Linked DNA regions of Tamandua tetradactyla. The protein of the gene in region 1 binds, or shares a complex with, the protein of each later gene. Links are inferred from orthologs where the notes say so. Each region holds a gene or a part of one and is shown in the gene's direction. Other genes may lie near its edges.

The links.
Region 2: DAB2IP (region 1) and ARHGEF6 share a complex: the UniProt entries of both Homo sapiens proteins name them as parts of the cytoplasmic complex. The link is inferred for Tamandua tetradactyla from reciprocal best matches to the Homo sapiens genes DAB2IP and ARHGEF6.

The regions. Positions count from the first base shown.
Region 1 is NC_135328.1:35,525,642-35,537,202, reverse strand, and holds the start of DAB2IP (disabled homolog 2-interacting protein), read left to right. Parts: upstream 1-6,272; coding exon 6,273-6,396; intron 6,397-11,561. UniProt on the Homo sapiens protein: Functions as a scaffold protein implicated in the regulation of a large spectrum of both general and specialized signaling pathways.
Region 2 is NC_135353.1:22,457,486-22,469,225, forward strand, and holds the start of ARHGEF6 (rho guanine nucleotide exchange factor 6), read left to right. Parts: upstream 1-6,251; 5' UTR 6,252-6,585; coding exon 6,586-6,750; intron 6,751-7,962; coding exon 7,963-8,046; intron 8,047-11,740. UniProt on the Homo sapiens protein: Acts as a RAC1 guanine nucleotide exchange factor (GEF).

The DNA.
Region 1 (11,561 bases):
CGGTTCACAGATGACCAGGCAGGTCTGCTTGGGGTGGGGGTTCTCCGGCCTCATGCTGGGACCATATGCCACCCCTCTGGTTGGCCGGTGGGTGTGGAACCTTCTTGGCCTATCACTGGCAAGGGAGGAAAGAACCCTGGGACCTTGAGCCTTAGCCCCAGGCCCAGGCTGGGGGAGCAGGGAGGGGCTTTGGGCCTGGCCGGGGCCCAGGGCCCACCTGGAGCTTGGCAGTGTTTCTGGGTCAGGGCGGGGAGAGGAAGTACACGGAGGGAGTTGCTCCAGGCCTGGCCATCTGGGCTGCAATGCTGCCTGCACGGGTGGGGGTGGGGAGGGAGAGGCCAGGGCTGGGTCCTGGAGAGTGGATCTCAGCCTCCCCCAACCCCAGGGGTTGGGTCACTGGAATGGAGCTCTGAGCTTTGGGGGTCCAGGGCTGACTGTCCTGTGAGCGTGGAAGCTGGGAGCACCTCTGGGCAGCTGAGCAGGCATCAGGCAGTGCGAGAGGGATGATTCAGGCAACCGAAGGGGAGGGGGGCTTTGGCAGCTGTATTTAACTCCCGAAATGGAGCCCCAGCTTAACCCCAATACCCATCTGTGACCTCAGGTGGGTCTCTCTCCCTTCTGGGCCTCAGTTTCCCTGACTACTCAGTGCTGGGGTGGGAGAGTCCATTATGATTGGAAACTGAGGCCAGATCCTACTTAGTGAGGAATTCAGGCAGGGGCCTCTGGGCAAGCAGCTGTCTTTCAGGGCCTAGACTTCCCTAGTTCAATCACTTACTCTGACTGTGTCCTTCCTGCTGTGGCATTCCAGGATTTTATGATGGGCTGTTTCCAGGGAGATCTGACCTCTTCTCTGGGCCCCTGGAGGGCAGGAGGAAACACTTCTGTGGTGGTTTGGGGACTCAGGGAGAGTTCTGGGCCTGATAGAATCCCAGGGAGGTGGGCCTGGCAGAGTTGCCTCATCCCCATTTAACATGTGGAGGCCCAGAGATGTCAAGGGGCTTTCTTTGGGCCACATAGCGTGACCGCCCCCCCCCCCCCCCCAGGTCCCTCCACCCCTCACTGCCCTTCCATCCCTCTTAGAGCTCTGTTCACCCAAGGATTCACCATCGGGCCCAGCCTTGATTGAATTGATTTAAAAAATACTCACCCTTCCCAAGGCCCTGTGTCTGTGAGCTTCCAAATGTCCATGCTTGGCTAGTCCCCCACTTCCATCTGTGCTGAGAGGGGCAGAGTCATCCAAGACTGGGATAATCTCCACCCAGACCTGGCCATTTTCTGCAAAGGATGCCATTAAATTCACTGGTGGATTTAGGGAGGAAGTCTGGGGGTAGTGGAGGCGGTAGACACCTAGTTTGTCACCAGGTATCTGAGCAGGACCTCACAGGGCCTGTCAGCATCTCTTGGCATGACGGGAGGCCCAGCCCCAGACACCCCCAACCCGCCACCCCCCACCCCACCTCCCAAATGATGGTCCTACTCTTGGTCCTACCTTGTTCCCGGATGAATGGTGGACACAGGAAGCCGTCACTAACTGTTAGACGTTAGACGGGCTGCCTCGCAGGGCAGAGGCCATGACCTTAACCATGAATGCCCTCTACTCCCCCCACCTCTGCCCAGGGGCCCAGTGACTCAAAGGCTGAGACTGGCTTGGGAGGTGGATCTGTAGAGGCTGCCTGGCAGGGGGCTTCCCCTGCTTGTGCTGCCTGCCCGCCTTCAGACAGGAAACCCGACAGGTCTGAGTTCTGCAGACATCCATTGTTTGGGGCCTGATGTGGGCTCTGATGTTTCCCCTGTCAGACTCCCCACCCCCAGTCCAGGCCTCCTTCTGTCCCTTGCCAAGTCGGATTTTAAGGAAAGCTCTAGGCTGTTGCCCTCCCCCGACTCTGTGCATCCTGCTCAGTGTGTGACAAACCTCCTCACCAGCCAGCCTGGGTTCAGTTTCTGCCTCCACCTCTTACAAGCCCTGTGACCTTGGGCCTCTCTGCTCCCAGTATTTTCTGTGAAATGAAGGCGGTAATGTCTGCCTCGTAGGTTTGTTGTGAAAGCAAATGAGATGATGTGTAAATGAGATGAATGCTGAGAACAGGGTCTTGGCTTCTGGTAAATTCGGAATACACTTTAGCTTCCATTATTATTATTAAGTCCAAACTACACCCTCATGCAAACTTTTCAAGGTCAAACTTGTGACCTTCCTTGGTTGGGGAGGTCGTGGATTCTGTGGTCCCCTCCAAGCGTGAGCCTCTCTCCTCCCTGGGCAGAGCCTAGTATTTCAGGATGGTCAATTGCTGCTGTTGTTTTCCTCCTATACATATGGCCCCTTCATGCAAGCCAGGTCCTTCTACTTTGTGCTCAGCAGAAGAAATGGGTGATCTATTGATGTTAGAGGCAAAAACTATTCTTTATGGGCTTTTCAAGGGTAAATCTGATGATATATATTTTTTCCCACTTCTTCTTCACTAAGTTTAAACCTAACACCCCCAGGAAGATGTGGCTGCATTGGGCTGACCAGGTGGCCCCTGTCCCCTGCATCTGGGTATCCCTCCTGACCTAGCCCTGGCCTGACCTGGACTTACCTGGACTGTCAGCCCCGTTCTCATGCTGTCCAGCACCTCCAACCCAGCCGGGTGCAGGCCTCCTGCTCCATGGTTCCTTGCCCAAAGGGGGATTCTGTTGATCCATTCTTCCCTGGTCTTCTCCTGTGGCCTCCTGGTGCCCCCATCTTTCAGCTCATTAGTGGGGTATGGCAGGAGCACAATGGAGGGTCTCTCCTGGGGGCTCAGGGCAGACTACTTTAAGGAGATTTGAGCTGGTTCCTGAGAGAAAAGGAGGAGTTTGCCAGGTGGGTGCAGAGAAGAATTTCATGTTAACACACCAACCAGGGCAAAAGGCCAGAGGCGGGAGATAGTGCAGGACCTTTGGAACGTCTCGGGTGGATGGAGCAAGGTGGCTGGAGTGGGGTAGGGCTGCAAAGGGAGGTGGCTGTTGTGACAGAGCTTGGTTCTTCGCAGTACTCTAGGGATCCGCCTGTGGAGGCTTTTGGGGGAGAGGGTAAATGTGGTGGTGGTGGTGGTAGGGGGGTTGTGTTGAGAGCTGATTCCACCAACTGGTTCCCCTATCTGCCACGTACTAAAAAATGCAGATGTCCAGGCCCATCCAGACCTACTGATTCAAACATCTGGGGAGGGGAGGGGCGGGGGACCTGGAAATATGCATGTTTTAATGAGCTCAAGGGAGATGTGGAGGCTATAGAAGCTGTAGTCTTGACCTACCGGAAGCAGCATGTCCGGGAGAAAGGAGCTGGGCCTGTCTGTATCCACCCTAGAGGGAAGAAGACAGAGGTGGGGGAACAGGAGCGCTGACCAGCTGGCTGCTAACCCTGTAGGCCCTGAGGCTTGAAGATCAGCAGGGCCTCTAAAGCTGATGCTGGTTAGAGCAGTCCCAGAGGGCTTTCCCTGGAGGGGTCTGTCACAGAAAGCAGTGTGGGGGTGGGGTGCGGGTGGGGATTTTCAGAACCCCTCCCCACCCCGGCCCAGGCAGTCTCTGGAAGTCTCTGCTGCTTCTGTTCGGAGGGAGGAGGCCCAGGGGCTGCGGGTGGGGGGTAGCAGCACGGGGTGGGTCTGGCTACTCTGAGATTGATTCCATATGCTCTGCTGGGGTGAGCAGGGAGCAGCTTTTGTCTGCCTGCACGCCCTGGGGGTCCCGGGCTGGGAGGAGGGGCAGGAAGCCCAGGCTCCTTCTCCCTCAGCTCCTGCCCTGCCCCCCTTCCTGCACTGTACCCAGCCCCTACTGGCCCACTGGTGGAGACTTTAGACTTCTGCTTGGTGTAGGTGGTAATGCCAACTCCCATCCTAGGGCCGGGAATGTAAATGCTTCTAACAATTCATGAACTGACCGTCCTCCTTGCACGAGATGGATTGGTTGGGAGGCCTTAGCTTCTTTTGGCAGAAAGGGAAACTGAAATACAGAGAGGGACTTGAGGAGTTCAAGCATAAGCTGGGAGATCACACCAGACTTGGGTCTTAGTTTCTGGCTACTTCTTCCCATTCCCCCCTGCCTCTACCCACACAGACCTAAGTCTACATTTGGGGGCCTCAGGACCATTTGCCACTGCCATGATCAGAGTCTGTGGGCAGTGAGCCTCTCATTCCCTTAAGCAAAGGCTGGAACTTGGCTTTCAGATTCCTGCTTTGGGAGGGGAACCAGGCCAGATGAACTCCAGCTCTTGGGAACAGGGCTGTTCCATGCATTCTGTGCGGGGCTCCCCAGGAGACCCCTATTTCCCAAAACTGGTGGGCCTTACTAGGGAGATTATTCATTACTGGAAGTACCAAGGTGTGGATAGGTGGATTCCAGTGGCCAGGCCAGAGAGGATGCCTGCTATGATGACCCACAGTTCACCCAGGTGTGAGCGCTTCCCAGGAGACTTTGCACTTTTAAGAGGCTTCTGTATAACGTCCGCTATTGAAAATGAGACTCGAAGGAGGCTTATGGTGTGCTTGTAGGCAAGGTGGTATTCTACCTTCCCGTGGTGGGATTGGCCAGTATTCTGAGAAGAGGAGCCAGGGAAGTTGTCTTAGCCCTTCCCTGGGGGGTGACTGGGTCTGGAGGTGCAAGACACCCCTTGCCCTGCCCTCCTGGTCTAGGGTCAGCCCCTGGCATCCAGCTGGGATCCAGGCTCCTCTCAACCTAGGGGCCCTCCCTGCTGGCTGAGTGTGGGAGGGGGCGCCCCCCTGTGAGGTACAAAACCTGGCCTGGACTCCTGCCCAGACTGCCCCGTCCCCTCCAGGGCCCCATCGTATCAGGCCCGGGGCACACCATATGGCCTAAGGCACCCACATGTGATCCCTCCCCCTTCTTACACTTGTACTCCTAAGACTGCATATTGGGGGGGTCCCAGGCTAAGACAACTTGCCTCTCTGCCACGGTCTTTCCATGTAAGGGAAAGACCCCTCTGAGGGAATGAAGATCTGGCAGCTTCATATCTGAATGGCTTAAGTGATAAATGCCACTCTGGGGCTGAGGAGGGGAGAGAGGGCCTGGATGGTCAAGGGAGGTTAGAAAGAGGAGTCCCTGGTAAGGTGGACTTTGGCCAGGCAGAGAAAAGTAGGATGGAGGGCAGTCCCTGCTGGCAGTAGAGCAAATAAAAGTGAGAAGTTGGGGGAGCAGAGAACACGAGACTGTGGTTTGGTTGGGTCAGATAGTTGGAACCCCACACGCTAGAGCAGGAGGTTTGGGCTTGTTGCTGTTGGGCTTTGGGAAGCCACAGAAGATTCTTGAGCTGGGGAGTGAGAAATCCAAATGCACAGAGAGAGTTGGGACCCAGCCTCAGTTTCCCATCTCTACAGCAGGATAGGAATTGTTCTGCCCTCCCGGAAGGCCCACCAGAGCTGCAGTAAATGTCCAGGGGGGTGCGGACTTCACTGCATCTGTGCTATTTTATGTATGGGACTCCCTGGTGGAGTGGGGAAAGGGGATTCCAAATCGAAGGGTGCAAGATGTTCAGATTTGGTGATGCCGACTGCATACATAGGTATTCATTATGTTCTCTCCACTTTTTGTGTGCTTGAAATATACACTATCATTTTAATTATAGGAAAGTAATGTTTGTATCAAATGGGACAATTTTTAAAATGTAAAGACTAGGCATGTGTCCTGCGTGAAAGAAGAGTGCTTTCCATCCGGCTGGGGCCTGGGGCCCGCTGAGCGGCGCATTTGCGGGTCGATTCTCAGCGGTGTGAGCTGGGGGCGGCAACGGGCTTCATTCGGACTCTGATCGAAGGTGACGGGTTCCCGGAGCATGGCGTGCTCCTGGCTGCGCTGCGGGTACCCTATGCCCCGTCTCCCGAGCGCGCAGACGGCAGGTCTACACCCGCCGCCCGGATGGGGCGCCCCGCGCGCCCGGGATCCGGCGTCAGGCCCTCAGGCGCGGGGGGGCGGGACCCTCCTGCTTCCCGACGTCAGGGTCTGGGGTCCCGGGGGCACTCCGGGCCGCCTCTCCCCGCTGACTCCAGGCCGGGATTTCTCCCGCGCTGACTTTCCGGGACGGTGCCAGCCCGGCCTCCCGGTCCCCGGCCCCCGCCGCGGGGCCGGCTGCTCGGAGGAGGGGGAGAGGAGGAGGAGTTTGAGCTACTTTGTCGGGCAGCCTTGGCCTCGGCGGCGGCCGCTCGGACGAGCGCGGGAGAACACAGGGACGCCCGCCGGGCCGTCCGGAGCGGGCGATGGGGCCCGTGTGAGCGCGCCCAGGCCCGGTCCGGTGCCCGGCGGGCGGCAGCATGTCCGCGGGCGGCAGCGCCAGGAAGAGCACCGGGAGGCCCTCCTACTACTACCGGCTGCTGAGGCGGCCCCGGCTGCAGCGACAGAGGAGCCGCTCCCGCAGCCGGACCCGGCCTGCCAGGGGTAGGCGCCACCCGGACCCCCTGACCCCCCAGGCCCTCCCGACCGCCACTTCACCACCCTGATGCCCTGGAATGCCAGGGACCCTGAATCCTCCTATCCATTTACGGGGAGCTCCCTCACCTGCCCAGTACCGTGTCTCCCTGACTCCAATTCCACCAGCTTCTCCCGCACCCTCCACTCTTGGGGATCTCCCTTTGCTGTGGGCAGGGAGAAGGGAGATTGGAATCCATGGTTTTCGACCACCGAGCCTTAGTTTACCCAGCTGCAGGGCATTAAAGTGATCCAGGGTGGCTCCTGGCTTTTTCTCTCCTCACCTTCACTGCCCTGGCCTCCCAGCTTAGCCGCCCTCCCAGCCCTGGACTTCTTCCCTTTTCAGGGATTTAACAGGCTCCCCCACCTCTTGGGTGGAGGGACAAGTGGGTGGACTTCAGGGGCCTCGACCCAGGAAAGAGCCGGATGCCGGGTTTGTAGAGATCCCTCCTGGACCCCTTCGCGTTGGTGGGCTTTGAAAGGAGTTTCTCTTTCAAGCCTGGGAGGGAGGGCTGAACTGAAGGGGGAGGTGCAGGCAGCATTTTCTTTTTCCAGTAACTGGATCCTCAGCTGGAAATGTGTGTGATCCAAGCGGGCTGCCTTCAGAGCGGGTGGGGGCTGGGACTTCCTTCCCAGGCTGGGTGGGAGGGAGGGAGGCCCCCTGGGAGGAGGCTATTGAAGGGCCCCTGGGAGCCTGGAGTCCCTGGCAAAGACTCAGGCCTACCCGGAGTGTCCATGGGGAGTCCGGGTCCCCGCCGCCCTCGGTGGGGACTTAGGCCACATTTCCACCTTCAGGTTGTCATGAAGAACAGGACGGCTGGTCCCATGGTCCAAACCCCCTGCACAGAGAGGGGTTTGAGCAATTGCTATACATAGAATCTGGCAGACCTAGGGTCAAATCCTGATCCCTCCGAGTGCTGATTGTGTGACCTAGGCTCTGCAGCCATGCCCCTGAGCCTCAAGTTTACCATCTTTGTGAGAGTATACGAAGTGAGCAGGCAGTCAGCATTAGCTTAGTTTGCTTCCCCACCCCACCCCCTCCAGAACGAGAAAGACTTTTTCCCACAGTCAGGGCTGAGCAACAATAAAACAGGGCTTCCTCAGGAAGTAGTGAGTTCCCCATTCATGGAAGGGTTCAAGCTGAGGCTGGGGTTATACACAGGTGTGTGCTGATGTTCAAGCCTTGAGGGTCTCTCCAGGCCTGTGATCCCACTCCCCTTTCCCTTCCCTGAAGTCATCTCTAGCTTCTACCTCACTTCAGAGTTGAACTCGGAGACCAGTGATCTGTGTTAAAGAACTGGTCACTGTGCTTTGGACAAGTCACTTCCCCTTTCTGACTCTCAGTTTTTTCATCTGTAAAATGGGACTAGCAGTATGTGGAAGATTCAGTAAAGTCCCTACTGTGATAAGGAGGAGTTGTACAACTACCCAATAACACTCACCCCTCTCCTCCTGAACCCACCCCTCCCACCCTCCCCTTGCCTCTGAAATGTTCTGTAAAAGCTTACCCTCCACTTTTAAAAAAAAATCTCAGCCCAGTTCCATCCCTGGCTGCAGAGGCACATAGGGGACCTGGAGTCTCCCTCTGAACCCAGGGGCTTTGTTGACTGGGCAGGGGACAGTCAATGTGTCAGGTCTTCACTGGAGCCCCAGTTCTCAGGCCCCACAGGAGGGAGCCTCTGCTTTGTGTCTCATCCTTGAAGGCGCTCACAACCTGCTGGGGGTGGGGAAGAGACTTGCTGAAGAGGAGTTAGAACTGAGGCAATCAGGGAGCGCTTCACAGAGGAGGTGACATTTGGACTGCTCTCACAAAATGGAAAAGATTTCCTTTGGCAGGAGTAGTGGTTGAATCAGATCTGGTTTCAAGTTGCAGCTCAGCACATAACTCTCCTGGGGTCAGTTACCTCTTCAAGCCTCAGGGTTCTTGTCTAGTAAATGGAGATAATGATGACAGGGTTCTTTAAGGAATGAGAACAAACACATGGAAAGCTAGAAACCAGTGTCTAGGTCCTGGGCTACAGTTGAGTGTGAGCTACTATGGTCCTTTCTCTGGACAGGAGGAAAATGCCTTGGGTGTTGGGGACAAATGGGCAGAATTCTTCCTGGGGCAGGGATGGGGAATGGGTTGGGAAGGGGAACAGGGAACGGTAGTTTGATAAATGGCCTTAAGTGATTGGGAATCATGGGGGTTGGGGTGGGGAAGAGAGCTGCTTGGGAGAATGACTGGGGCAGGGTGTAAGGTGGAGGCTGGAGGTCCCCTGCCCTCTGTAGCAGATACTGACCTCCCTCCAGAGCCCTGACTCTGAGGGGCCACCCTCTCACTAACCCCTCCTGAGGGCAGTGCCCCCATGCAGATGGTAGTGCATGCTGGGGGGGGGGGCTTCCACGTGGCCTTGAGCCAGGTCCTTCCTACCTCAGGCCTCAGTCTCCCTCTCAGCCTGGAAAGTTGGTCCCGTGACTGTGACATCAGACCTCAGAGGAGGGGTGGTTCCCGGTATCCCAGCCCAGCTCAGACACTTGCTCCATATCTATTCTGGCCTCTGCCACTAGCAGGGAAGAAAAATGGCCAAGAACTTGGGGTGGATTTTTGTTCGGAAAAAGCAAAGCGTAGGGAAGAGTGGACTAGAGGTTGGGACCTGCAGCTGATCGGGCCGGGGAAAGGGTTGTGACCAGGCTGCCACCTCTGAGAATGCTCCCTGCCCACTGACCCCCATCGGAGGCATGGGGAGGGGGCTCATTGGAGATTTGAGAGCAGGACCTTGCCCCAGGCAAGGCTGCAAGTGAGGGACAGCATCTGCTGTTGTCTGGGTTTCACCAATGTGGGGTGCAGAGTAAGCCCTAATGTTGGGGGCCACAAAGCTTGACAATGCCAGAGGCATCCTCCTTGGATGGCAAGGATGCTCTGGCCATTTGCCACTGTGCTTGTCATCCTGGAGTCCTGGATTGCATCATTGTGCAATCTTGAAGGTTGCACAATGAACATGGAATTGAGGGGGTCCTGTTCCCTGAAGGATGTCACCAGCCAGGGTGCCTGTCTACATGTCCTTACCGTGGTCAAGGAAAGACTCGTTTACCTGTTTGTCTGAACTTTTTGTCACCCCCAGAGCATTCCTGTCATGATGGGTAAAGTTCTGGCCCATTCATTCCGCCAGCACATGTCTTGAGGACCTACACTATATGCTGGGCTCCAGGTTGGACACCAGGGGACATGGAGATGAATCACACATGCTCCCTGCCCTCACTGAGCCCCAAGTCTGGTGAGGAGGTGACTTGGAGTGCACTGGAGCAGGTGGCCCTTTCTGATGGAATGGAGAGATGGCGAGTGGGAGACGGGCTCAAGTCCAGCTCAGCCATGAATTCGTTATCCATTTCTCCATCCATCAATTGGGGCTAATCTGTCTTGCTACGCCACTGGTGTCAGGGGACCTCTTGGAACTGTAGTGGGTCCATACCCGTGGGAGGCTTTGGTTCCTTTCTTCATGTCTTCATCCATCCACCTGCTGCTTTCCAGGGACCCACATATCGGGTCCGGATGGGGCTCTGGGGACTTGCCAATGTTTTCTCCTAAGATGGTTAAATCCTCCATCGTGCCCACATGTCTCTCCATTTGACAGCTGCTGTATGGCCCTCTTCTTCCACCTGGAAGAATTTGCTGTTATCTGTTCTGTGGGGCCTTGGCAGGGGTTTACAGGAGCCCCCCAATTACTCTGAAGAATAAGCAGGAGAGGCCTGCCTGGGAGATGGTCCCCAGGAGAGCTGGGGCTGCCTCCTGAGGTGGTGGTCCCCTCCCAGGGCTGGAGCATGCAGCTGGGTGGTCCGACCCCTGAGGTCCAGAGGGAGACACTGAGGCACAGAGGAGCTGGGACTATAGCAACATGATCAGGGAGGTTGCTGGTTTGGGTCTTGTCTGGGAGCAACGTTGAGGGAAGGGCCTGTGTGTGCCATTATAGGGAGGGACGGGGACCGTGACCTCTCATGAGGGATCTTGGCTTCAAACAGACTCCAAGAGGCCTCTGGGGCAGCAGTCTAGACCCCAAGGATTGGACAAGCCTGAGAAAAAACCCTGCAAATGGGGGCTGGTTGTGTCTTGTTGCCCTCTAACCCTCAGACATTCCCCTAAATGCCCAAGGCTTGGCTTTCTACCCCCAACTGGGACGAGACTCTGAAATCATGTTTGTGTCCTTTTCTGCCTTGTCTCTCTTTCTGTTCCTGCTGAGACACAATCCTTCCTTTGGAGCTTGGCCCCAGTTTCTGGGGAGCTCACTGCTTCTCGTGACATGTAACATGGGTGAAAACATCTCCTGCTTTCTGAGTCCCTCCTCAGTGTCTGGCATTGCACTGAACTCTGTACCTGAGTAATCTCATTTCCTACTCACAATGACCCCAGTAGATTTATTTTGGTATTATTCTCATTTTACAGGTGAGAAAACTGAGGCCCACCGAGTGAGAGCCTTGTCCAGGTCACACAGCTCAGAAACAGTGGAGCCCAGCTCTGCCTGACTCCGATGTTGAGTTTGTCAGTGTTCCACCTGGCTATTTGTAGGCACACGGGTCTTTCTCAGGCTAGGCCTTGGCTTTGATAAGACTTTCTCTTCTTCTTTGTAATAATGTCCTATCAGATTTTCCCAGGTAGCAACTCCACAGGGTGTATGCAGTCATGAGCTCCCACAATCCTAAACTGTCACTCAGGAGGGAAGCAGGGAAATGACTCCAGCATCTGTGAGTTGCTTACCTTCACTGGCGCAGGTGGGACCCTCAGGTCTGGTCCTCCCTCTCCCTATTTGTGCCCCCTATGTCCTGATCTGATTCATTTTCTGCCAATAATACTGTTTCCTGGGCATGGCTTCAGCTCTGTTTCTGCACCAGGTCCCTTTGTGCTGAGAATTCAGTGTTTCCTGGTGTGAGGTTCCTGGAGCCTGGGCAAGATAACGCCCCAAAGCTATCCTGGCAATAGTGGGAAGCCAGAGACCCCAGTTAATCTCCTGGAATGTCAGATTCTTGGCCTTTGTCATTCCTGAGCATATGCTCATCACCTTTAATAATAATGAAGAGAATAACTCCTTTTTACTCAGCTGAATGTGTGCCAGGTCCTGCACCAAGAGCTTTATCTGATTATCTCGTTTTAATCCGCACCG
Region 2 (11,740 bases), on another chromosome or scaffold:
GGTTAGGGACAGGTGTCAACTTGGCCAAGTTGTGGTACCTGTTTATCTGATTGGGCAAGCGCTGGCCTGTCTGTTGCAATGAGGACATTTCATAGGATTAGGTCATGATCACGTCAGCTACATCCACAGCTGATTCCATTTGTAATCAGCCAAAGGGGAGTGTCTTCTGCAATTAGTGATGCTAAATCTAATCATGGGAAGCCTTTTAAGGAGGACTCAGAGGAGACAGGTTCCATTCCTGCTTTGGCTGGTGAGCCTCTCCTGTGGAGTTCATCCAGGCCATCCATCAGAGTCATCGGCTTCGCAGCCTGCCCTGTGGATTTTGGACTCTGCGTTCCTACGGTCACGTGAGACACTTTCATAAATTTTATATTTGCAAGTGTTCCCTGTTGATTCTGTCTCTCTAGAGAACCTTAACTAATACAATAACGTATAACAAACTTTACAAATCAATAACAAAATATAAACTGATAAAAATATTTAAGCCTTCTAGCCTATATTCTGGAGCAGTTAGAAGGAAAAATCTGAGAGGATTGTATGGTAGCCCATGACAAACTCTGGGATCTGTCCTGCAACTACTTGTTGAAGAGTACTTTGAAAACTATTCCTTTTTTACTTCTTTGCTTTGTCTATATATTATACTATACAATAAAAAAGTTAAAAAATATATAACCTAATAGAAAAATGGGCAATAGAATTGAAAAAATATTTTACAGAAGAGAAAACGTGCATTACTAATAAATATATTAAAAGTGATCAACTTCATAATAATCATAGAATTGTAAATTTCATACCCATGAAAATAGCAAAACTGCAAAAGTCTGAAATATTAATTGTCAGCTATGATATGCAGCAATGGAAAATCAAACCCTGTATGTGGATGCATGCATTTTCAATAAGGGTTTTGGAAAACAATAAGGTCAAGGAATAGTTGTAGTGATAGTAATGAAACAGCAAGCTGGAAAGATGGTAGGTTTTGGTTAGAGAATGAAATGTTTAAAGTCATGGTTAAGAAGGCAGAGAAGTTTGTGTGATGATAAAGTAAGTATATGTTGCAAGTGGGTGGATGAGGTGGTCAGGAAGAGTTTATTGAAGATACTCTTGGGCCAATCAGGAGAGAGAAATTACATAGTAATTTGAACAGGGAAATTTGAGCAATAACACATTATTAATTATAATAGGGGATTGGAATAATGAGGGATTGGCTAGTAAGAAGTAAAGAGAACTCTAACGAATACAAGAACAGCAGATATAATATAAAAATAATGTATAATAGTCACTATCCTTAGAGCTAAAATAGAGCCCTCCCCTCACCCAGGGCTGAAGATTCAGACCTTGATAGAGAAATTGCCATGGTGCTGAGTTGGTGGAACTTTCTCAACATCTGCCCTCTAGAATTTGCAGAAAATGTACCTTCCAGGGTGCTGATTTTCCATTCTCAGGAGTGGTGTCTCACCAGAGGCACTCTGCTACAAAACCAGGGGAAGTTGATGCTTGCTGTGCATTGGGGAACCCAATGCTGCAGAAGGTGGGCACTAAAAAGGCTGGGAGCTCTGCAGGGGCCTGCAGAGTGAGCACACAGGAAACAGGAAGTAAACCCCTTCTTCCTGCAAAGTCTCTCCACCACCCTGTACTGATAAAATTTAGATTCATGCCATCTGGCAAAGTAAAAAATATTTAAAGTTCCCAGGGCCGTTTTCACAGAGCAAGCAAAAAGAGGAAGTGAGAAATAACAAACCAATACTGATACAGGAGGTCAAGGAACTGAATGGTCATGATGTTGGATTGTTGTTCTTGTGGATATTCAAATGACCCAGGGTGTTGGCTGAAATTGGGATGGGTTGGAGGGTGATAAATCAATTTGTTCTTCCAATTGTAATCCTTGGTCCACCTGTATCAGAATCAAATAGGATAGCTTAAATAATACAGATTCTTTTGCACCATCACAACTTTCTAAACTGCGGTATCTGGGAATACTTCAGGGCCAAGAAATCTTCTTTTTAACAAGTGTACCAGTAGATTTAAAAGAAAAAATTAATTATCAATACTTCAAGTACATAAAAGCAAATTAAATATCATAACAGACACCAGTATACCCATCATCCAGTTATAACAAATAGTACATTTCCCTTGTTTCCTACAAACCCTTTTTTAAAAAATGTGTTACCTTTTTTGGGTCAAGCTCTACCCTCTCATTTCTTTCTCCTCCCTTGCTCAAAGGAGGTGATTATCATGTATGCTCTCATTTGAAAATTAGTACCTTAGGCAATGGAGAACTTTTGAGGGATTTTAAGCAGGGGTATTACACTATCAGAGAGGTGTTTTGGGGAAATCAACAAACTGCTCTGCTAGACAGCATGTTAAGGAGAAGGAATAGAGATGGGGGAGTGAGGAGGTAGGTTCTTTGGCCCAGAGTGTATAGTTCTAAGGATCTGAAGTAGAGTGAGAGACCTTTGCTTCTTTTGCTCTTGTGTGAAGCTCACTGTTTTGTCATAACTGTGAATCCAGTCTTTTACCCACTCTCTATTCTGCCAGTTACTTCACTCCTTTTTTCACTTGCTTCCCTACCATGCTGGTTTGAAAGGATTATGAACCCTCGAAAAGTCATTTTTTAATCCTGATTCAATCTTGTGGGAGCAGCCATTTAAACCCTATTTAGTACTGTATGTTGGAAACATGATTAGATTATCTCCATGGAGATGTGACTCGCCCAATTGTGGGTATTAACTTTTCATTAGAGGGAGATGTGACTCTACCCATTCCAGGTGGGTCTTGATTATTTTACTGGAATCCTTTAAAAGAGGAAGCATTTTGCAAAAAGCTGGAAAGCCTTGACAGAGACATGAGAACCACAGAGCCCATGTAGCCAAAGACCTCTGGAGATGAAGAAGGAAAACACCCCTAGGGGAGCTTCATGAAACAAGAAGACTGGAGGAGAAAGCTAGCAGATGTTGCTATGTTCGCCATGTGCCTTTCCAGTTGAGAGAGAAACCCTGAACTTATCAGCCTTTCTTGAGTGAAGGTTACCTCTTGTTGGCACCATGGTTTGGACATTTTTATAGACTTGCTTTAACTGGGACATTTGCTTGGCCTTAGAACTATAAACTTGCAACTTAATAAATTCCCCTTTTTAAACGCCATTCTGTTTCTGGTTGTATTAGTTAGGGCTCTCTAGAGAAACAGAATCAACAGGAAATATTCGTAAATATAAAATTTATAAAAGTATCTCATGTAACCATGGGAACATAGAGTCCAAAATCTGCAGGGCAGGCTGTGAAGCTGACAACTCTGATGGAGGGTCTGGACAAACTCCCCAGGAGAGGCTTGCCGGCCGAAGCAAGAAGAGAGCCTATCTCTTCTGAATCCTCCTTAAAAGGCTTCCAGTGATTAGATTAAGCATTACTCATTAAAGAAGACACTCCCCTGGGCTGATTATAAATGGAATCAGCTGTGAATTTATCCGATGTGCTCATGATTTAATTCTATGAAATGTCCTCATAGCAAAAGACAGGCCAGCACTTGCCCAACCAGACAAACAGAAACCACCACCTGGCCAATTTGACACATGACTTCATCATAACACTGGTATATTGCATTCTGGAAGCTAGCAAATTTGAATACCTACCCAGGCTGGGCTCCATAGTTACTCATTTCACCTATATGCTTATTGCTGCCCCAACATTCCTTGCTTTCTTGACATTTTTACCATTTTGCCACCCTATCCTCCAAGCTTCATACCATAGAATTGTTTCTTCCATCTTGAGAAAGTGGCCTTGTATTTTTTATTTTATTTTATGTATATTGAAACTCACCAGTGTCAAAAATGAGGAATATTTTTACCTGGGCAACTTCAGTGGGTTGAAGCCTATTTCAAACTTGGCTGAGTATGGAAATTACTCAAACTTTGTTCTTTATCAGAAAATACAAGTAAAATCTCAATAACATTGCCAGATTTTGTTTGTCTGTAGAGTAAATTTTGATGAGCAATTGTGAAAGCTGTCCAAATGACATATAAAAGTATGTTTAAGTAGGTCAGATTTTGGAATTTCATTTATAAGCAAATGTTTTTTTTTTTTTTTTTTGTTACTTCCATTGCATAGATTTGGCACTGGGTCAAAATTAAAGCTTTTGATTGACTGTACTTATTTTGCTTGTAAGCATAATTATATCAAACCAAGCACATGGAGGTCAAATTCTTATTATAGACACAGCAATATGGATAAATCTCAAAATAATGATGTTGAGGGAAAGAAGCCAGATGAAAGAAAGCACCATACTGTATGCTTCCATTTATATAAACTGCTGGAAAGTACAAACTTATGTACAGGGACAGAAAGCAGATTAGTATTCATCTCAGATTCAGGGCAGAGGTTCTTGGCAGGAAGGGGTTGAAAAGACACAAGGAAACTTTGGGGGGTTGTGATGGTTAGGTTCATGTGTCAAACTGGCCACATGCTACTGTTCAGTTATTTGGTCAAGCCAAGCACTGGCCTGATTGTTACTGTTAGGACATTTTGTAAACTTAAATCATCAGTAAGCTGATTGTTTGACTGATTACAACTACAATCAACTGAGGAGATTGTCTTCAACAATGAGACGCATCTCATCCAATCAGTTGAAGGTTTTAAAGATGAAGTGATGACTTCAGCAGTCAGAAAAGAGAACTTCCATCTCTACTTCAGCCAGCCAGCTTCTCCTAGGGAATTCATGGAAACTTTCATCAGAGTTCCTAGCTTACAGCCTGCCCTATGGAATTTGGATTTTTACATCCCCACAGTCATGTGGGATAATTTTATAAAATCTCATATTTACAGATATCACCTGTCAGTTCTATTTTCCTTAGAGAACCCTAATAAAAGGGTGATGGAAAGCTTTATCTTAATTGTGGTGATGTTTTCATTTGTACACATTTGCTAAAACCCATTGAATCACATAGCTTAAATATGTACAGTTGATTGTGCATCAGTAATCCTTCAATTAAGTTGTTAAAAGGAAAAATTTTGTTTGAAACCATGAAAAAAACAATAAACCAACAAACAAAAAAATCCTTGTTATAGTCAGGTGGTGTCTAGGCCAGGGATACCATATAAATATATTCATTCATTCAATCAGCATTTTTGAGCATCTACTGTGTACCAGGCACTCTGCTGGGAACACAGCACTAAAAAAGACAGATAAGATCCCTACTATAGGGATCTTACATTCTGGCAGGGAAGTTAGATCAAGTAATATCAGTAAATTGTGATAAGTATTATGACAGGAACAGAAGGGGCAGCTTTGAAATGTTTAGCAGGGTGATCTAAGCTGATTATTTGGTTGTACTGTGTTGAGAAAGATTCTGAACTTTAGCAGGAAAGAACTGTAATTGATTGGCACTGTCTCCCATGTGGTGGTATGAATGCCATGTATTTGCCAATATAGGTCGATGCTCTCAAAATCGGCCTTGTGATAAATTTCCCAGTAATCTGACTATTTCAACTGGTTCTGAAAATGTTTGAGGGTAATGAGGATTGCTTGCTGTTTTTATTTTTAGTGCAAGGTATTCTTTGGGAAAGCATCCACCTTCCAGGCTGTGTAGACAGTAGACAAAGTGCTCTTTTATTCTCAAACATTCTGTTTTCAAGTGTGTTTTACCCGCTTGTATGACTGTCTTTGCTAAGGGGACTGCAGCTGGATTGTGTATTGGAACCAGGTCCAGAAAAAGAATTGCTAAAGAATGCAAGTAAACAGGATGTCAGATGTTATCCTTAGCTTATTTCCCTAAACATAGCTTTTTGGCTGCAATGTAAAATGTCATTCTTCTAGCTTCTGCTTATACACAAGAATGGCTGACAGCAGGCACAATCTTCATTCATTTGGCACGTTGTGCCATGCAACTCAACGTCTTTTGTAAAGAATGAGCATGATACACCATCTCTGAGAGACAGTTATGAGGAAGCCCAGCCATTTCTTGGAAGTATTTTCTCAGCCTACCTTCTTTGAGCCCTGTTGTTCCAGCACAGCTCCCCATGAGGCTCAGATCTGTCTGACCTAAGAGCCAGTTGGCATCCTCTTCCTGACAGAAGCCAGATTTTCACTGGGACTAGACTATTTATTGACAGCCTTTTCCCAGACTGGACCATAAGTGTCTCATTTCCAAGGTCCCCTGAAGTGCTGTTTCACCTCTATTTTCCAAAAGCACTTGCTCTCTTCTCTCTCCTCCCTCCCCAGCATCCTCCTACTTCCTTCCCTTACAGCTTCTTGCATTGTGTGTGTGTGTGTGTGTGTGTGCGCGCGCGCGTGTGCATGTGTATGCCTGTGTGGTGTTCTTTTTTTTTTATCCTAGTGAATTTGTTTTGAAGGTTTTGAAAAAGAAAACCAGTGGTGTCCATTCTGTCTGCATCTTTAAATGTGGTCTCTGTGATTTTAAAAGTCCAAATTTTGAGTGGGTTCCACTGTTGTCTAAGAAAAGTTGTTTTAAAACTTTGCTCTGCAAGCCCCAACAGAGAACTCATAAAAAGGAAGACAACAGCAGATGCAATCGCGGATGTGGCTTAGTCCTTGCAGCTGCCCCAGAGAGCTGTTCGGAGTGTACAGTCCTCAGTAATGAATCCAGAAGAGCGAATCGTGACATGGCTTATATCTTTGGGAGTTTTAGATTCTCCCAAAAAGACCATCTGTGATCCGGAGGAGTTCTTGAAGTCCTCGCTGAAAAATGGGGTAGTTCTGTGCAAACTGATCAACAGACTTATTCCTGGCTCAGCGGAAAAGGTAAGGTAAATTTGTAGTATCTTTGGGATTGCCTAGTACCAGAGAGCAGTAATAATGAAGCCCTTGGAATTTTCTATTGTCCAGGTCATGAGAATCTCCTACTTCATTATCTTTCTAAGCGTTAGATATTCTTTCTTACTGTTTTTGAAGTTAGAAAAAGTCAGAAAATGAAATTTTATCTTTTAGTAATTAGAACCCAAGTATCAGTGTGGTAAAATCCTATTATACCACTGGCAACAGAAGACAAAGGAGAATACTCATATCACAAACTGATTCTGCTATAAAGATGCATGTTTGGAATGTGGGGTGCATATATGCCTCTGGAATAATGAGATGATTTATAACAAATATCGATGGTGTTTGCTGACAGTTTGACTATGATCAATGTAGATTTCCTTTACAAAAAAAAAGATGAACTATCCATCAAGGGAGAGATGATTTTGTAAGGAAGAGAAAGAATCCAAAATATCACTTAAGGTTTGTAAAAACAAGAGAAATCAAATATATGTTTCAAATGCAACATGCATTCAAAGTGAAACTAAACTTACCCTCTTTTAAAACTCCAAGATTTTAAATGTTGGAAACTCATGATCATGAGCGTGGATGATTTCTAAAGTAGGCACCTTAAGTAAGTTTAAAGGTGAAGTCCTATGATTATTTTCTGAACGCTAGCAAGGAATGTGACTGAGTATAGCTCTTCTGCCTTATGAACCAGTTTGCATTTTTAGTGAGCTAATAGAGCTACTTATCATTTCTTAAACATGAGAAACAATGATAAAGTGGTGATTAAATGTGGAGAAATGTGATAAAATGTCAAGAGCAGCATAGGGGAAAATGTAACTTTAATAAATCATCATGAGGAGCAGGGAGGGAGGAATCGGGTATTGCCTCCTTGTTTGAAAGCAAGACCAAACTTCAAAAAATGGTTGTGGTCTCTCTGATTTGCTATCATCACACTCTGGCAGAAGGCATGAGAAAAAATTTTTAAGTAGAGATGGCTTGGGACTAAAGGTTTGGTGACATTTGAAACATAAACTGACCGTTTAGATTTTTGCATCACTTCCGTCAGTGGTTATTTCTCTTCCTGGTTTGACAGCAGCATTGTCCCCTGCCTTAAAAAGCCTACCTTATCTAGTTATCAACGAATGATGAATATGGTCTGCTTGGCATGGGATGACAGTCTCCAAGTGACATTTGATTATGTTTCTCTAGTATTGTCTGGAGCCCCAAAATGAAGCAGACTGTACCAACAATATTAATGACTTCCTGAAAGGATGTGCAACACTTCACGTGGAGGTAAGCCTAGCCAGGTTGCCTGGCTTCTTGTCGTCATTTTTCACTCTGCTGACAGATCGCCTTGGAGTAAAAGTACTTGGTTTGTTTTCACTGTCAGTGGCCACTGAGTTAAACAGAGGTAGCATTTTATGGGAAACCACAACTGAGGTCGGTGGTTGTCCCCAGTAGTGGATTGCTAGCCTGTTTTCTCCAGAAGCAAGTTCTAAAGAAATAATAAGTACTCAGAAAATGATTTCTCTTAAATACAGCACCCAAGCACTGAGAGCAGTCTTACAGCGACAGAGCTTGAGTGAGTACGCTTCTTTACTATGGGGAGCCAAAAGTGGACGCTTGGCTGGAGAAGGTCACTGCTAATCCCCCATTGTCATTTTTTTTCCCATTAGCACTCTGAAAGAGAGGCCTTGAAATGCTAGGAGAAACTGTCCCTGAGGTAGAAATTGTATATTAAATTAGAGTGCACTATTTGTGTTATATATAAAATTAAATAATGTTGCACTATATATATTATATATATATTTTATTATATGTTTAGGGAGTGTTGCTGAGAGCTGATACCTTCACCACTGTGTCAAGTTATTTAACTTGTCTTTGCCTTAGTGTTTTAATCAGTAAAATAGAGACATCAATAATATCTATTTTAAGGATCAAATGAGATACTGCGAAATAATTTAGGACTAAGAGCTCCAACCTCATAAGGGCTCTGAGATAATGTATGCAGAGTGCTCAGCACGGGGCCGGGGAAGTTAGAAGTGCTCTGCATGAGTGGACAAGTTCTAGTAGTAGTACTTGTGGGAAAGCAACATTTGGAATGGTTCAGAGCATGGTCTCTGGAGCCAGACTGCTTGGGTTCAAATCTCAGTCCTCTCTCACCAGTAGTTTTCTGACCTTGGGCACATTACTTAACCTTTCTATGCCTAGAAAATGGGAATATTAGTGGTACCTATGTTGTAAGATTTGGGTGAGTTTCAATAAATTCATACATACATATATAAAGCCCTTGGAAGAGCACCTTGCATGTAGCTTGTATTCTCCAACACGCAGCTATTATTGTTATCATTAGCAGTAATAGCTTTGTCCCAGATAAAGTTTGCTTCCTTCACAATTTTTATAGTTACTGCCATCATCACGATACACTTTTCTCCGAATATTTTATTCCAGGTTTCCCAATTGCCCAATTGGAGCTGTGTGGTTTTCAGGTAGATGTGGCTTGAGACCACTTAAAAACCTATAGAATGATTTCTACTGTGGAACAGATCATGATGTTTTCTTTTTCATTTTTCAAATAAAAGATGAAGAAGTACCCAATGGTTTCTGGACTCAGAAGCTGTCAGAAGGTATTCTGAGCTTCTTTGCAATTCTAAGAATGCTTGATGATATAGAAACCCTTCCTGTGTCTGGCATTATTGGGGAATGAGTTGTTCTACCAAAGTGGATTTTCCGGCTAATTAATGCTTACCCTTTTAAGCACCAATACTTAAAATCCTTTTAGCTTCTTTGGATGGAAATCTTTCTAAAAAGTATATCATAATTTTCCTTCTTCTTAAATGAAAGGCATTGGGCATATTTTGACCTCTCTTTGATGATTCAGGCTGACCTTTATGAGCATTGTAATAAAGCAGAGTCTGATGTCATGTTCAGACACACAAGATTTGTAGTGCGAAGGACCTGGGTTAGCCTCTTGGAAAAGTTACTTCATCTCTCTATGCTCCAGTTTCTGCCTCTGTAAAATGAGCACATTAATAATATCTACTGTATTTCTTTTTAAGGATGAGATGAGATAATGTAATTTACTAATCTCATTGCACTTACCTGATTGCACGGAAAATATGCACAATAGCTGGCCGCTATTACTGGGCGGTGTTCTTTGCACTGGTGTGTGCAAAATTACGCTTTTAAGGGATGCATAAGAAGCACATCAAAACACTGAGAGAACCCTGAGAGACATAATGATAAAATCAATACCACAACAATGTGAATGTAATTAACATCACTGAACTGTACGATTAAAAGTAGATTAAACAGGAAATTTAGGTTGTATTCATGTTATCAGAAAAAAAGTTTTTAAAGTTATCCATAGGCGTGTACAACACAAAGAAGGAATCCTAATGTAAACTATAGACTATAATTAATATAATTATAGTAATATTGTTTCAACAATTGTAACATACTACATTAATGCAAAATGTTAATAATGGGGAAAACTCTGTGCATGTGTGTGTGTGTGTGTGTGTGTGTGTGTGTGTGTATGGGAACTCTACCATCTGCGTGTTTTTATTTCTGTAAACCTACTACTACTATAAAATATATGTAAGATCAGTACAAGAGAAATGAGACTGAAAGCTGTGCCAGGGAACATCCAGCAGCCAAGGATGCCGAACATCCACTCCCAGGTAGCTAAGAGAGAGAACTAAACATGAATATTTGCAAAAGTAACTTTAGATATAGTCATTCCAAGCCCAAAATGCCTAGCACAGTGTCTGGCATAGCACATACTTAATGCATTCTGTTGACTATATAAAGTTGTAAAACTACAAAAAGCAAGAAGAGCAGGGCTTGACTAATGCCCAGCACAGGATACTACTGATCTGAAGAAAGAATGACAGCTTGAAATGGTCAGTTTGGGAACGCAGTAAAAATAGAGCCAGAGATACAACACACACTGACCAATAAAGTATTGGAGTGTGGGCTAGTGGTGGCCACATTATAGAGCTGCCACTTTCTGATCATCTGATTGGGTGACCAGTTGACCTCTTTAAATAGCCTTCAACTTCTCAGAAGACTTAGGTGCCTTAGGATCTCTAGAGGATCACATAGCTAGTAATTAGTTGGAGGTAGTCCGCTAAGACATCTGGGAAACAAATGTGCTTTCTGAAGCCCCTCCCCAACCTTAATATGTCCTTGATGCACAAATTTAAAAAAAAATGTTTTTTGAAGTCCAATCCATCTATTTTTTCTTTATTGTTTTCTTTTGGTGTCATATCTAAGAAACCATTGCCTAATCATAGGTCATGAAGATTTACTCCTGTGTTTTCTTTTAAAAGTTTTACAATTGTAGCTCTTACATTTAAGTCTTAGATCAGTTTTGAGTTAATTTCCTGTATGTGGTGTGAGGTAGGGGTTCAAATTCATTCATTTGCATGTGGATATCCAATTGCCCAAGCACCAATTGTTGAAAAGATTATCTCCCTCATTAATTTGACTACTATAGCTTCATAGTAAGTTTTCAAATCAGAAAATGTGAGTCTTCCAATTTTGTTCTTCAGTTGCAAAATCATTTTGTCTGTTCTGGATCACTTGCATGCCCTTATGAATTTTAGGGTCAGTTTGTCCATTTCTGCAAATAAGTGAGCTGGGATTTTGATAAGGATTACCTCAAATCTGTAGATCAATTTGAGGAGTGCCTTAATTTTCTAGGACTGATGTAACAAGGTACCACAAACTGAGTGTCTTAAGACAACAAAAATGTATTATGTCATAGTTCTGGAGCCTAGAATTCCAAAATCAAGGTCTTGGAAGGGCCATGCTCCTTCTGAAATTGGCAGGGAAGAATATGCTCCATGTCTCTCTCCTGGCTTCAGGCAGAGACAGGTAGTCTTTGGCATTCCTTGGGATGTAGAATCACTCAATCTCTGCCACTGTTGTTACATAGCTGTCTTCTCTCTGTGTGTCTGTCAGTGTCTCCTTTCCCCAGTAT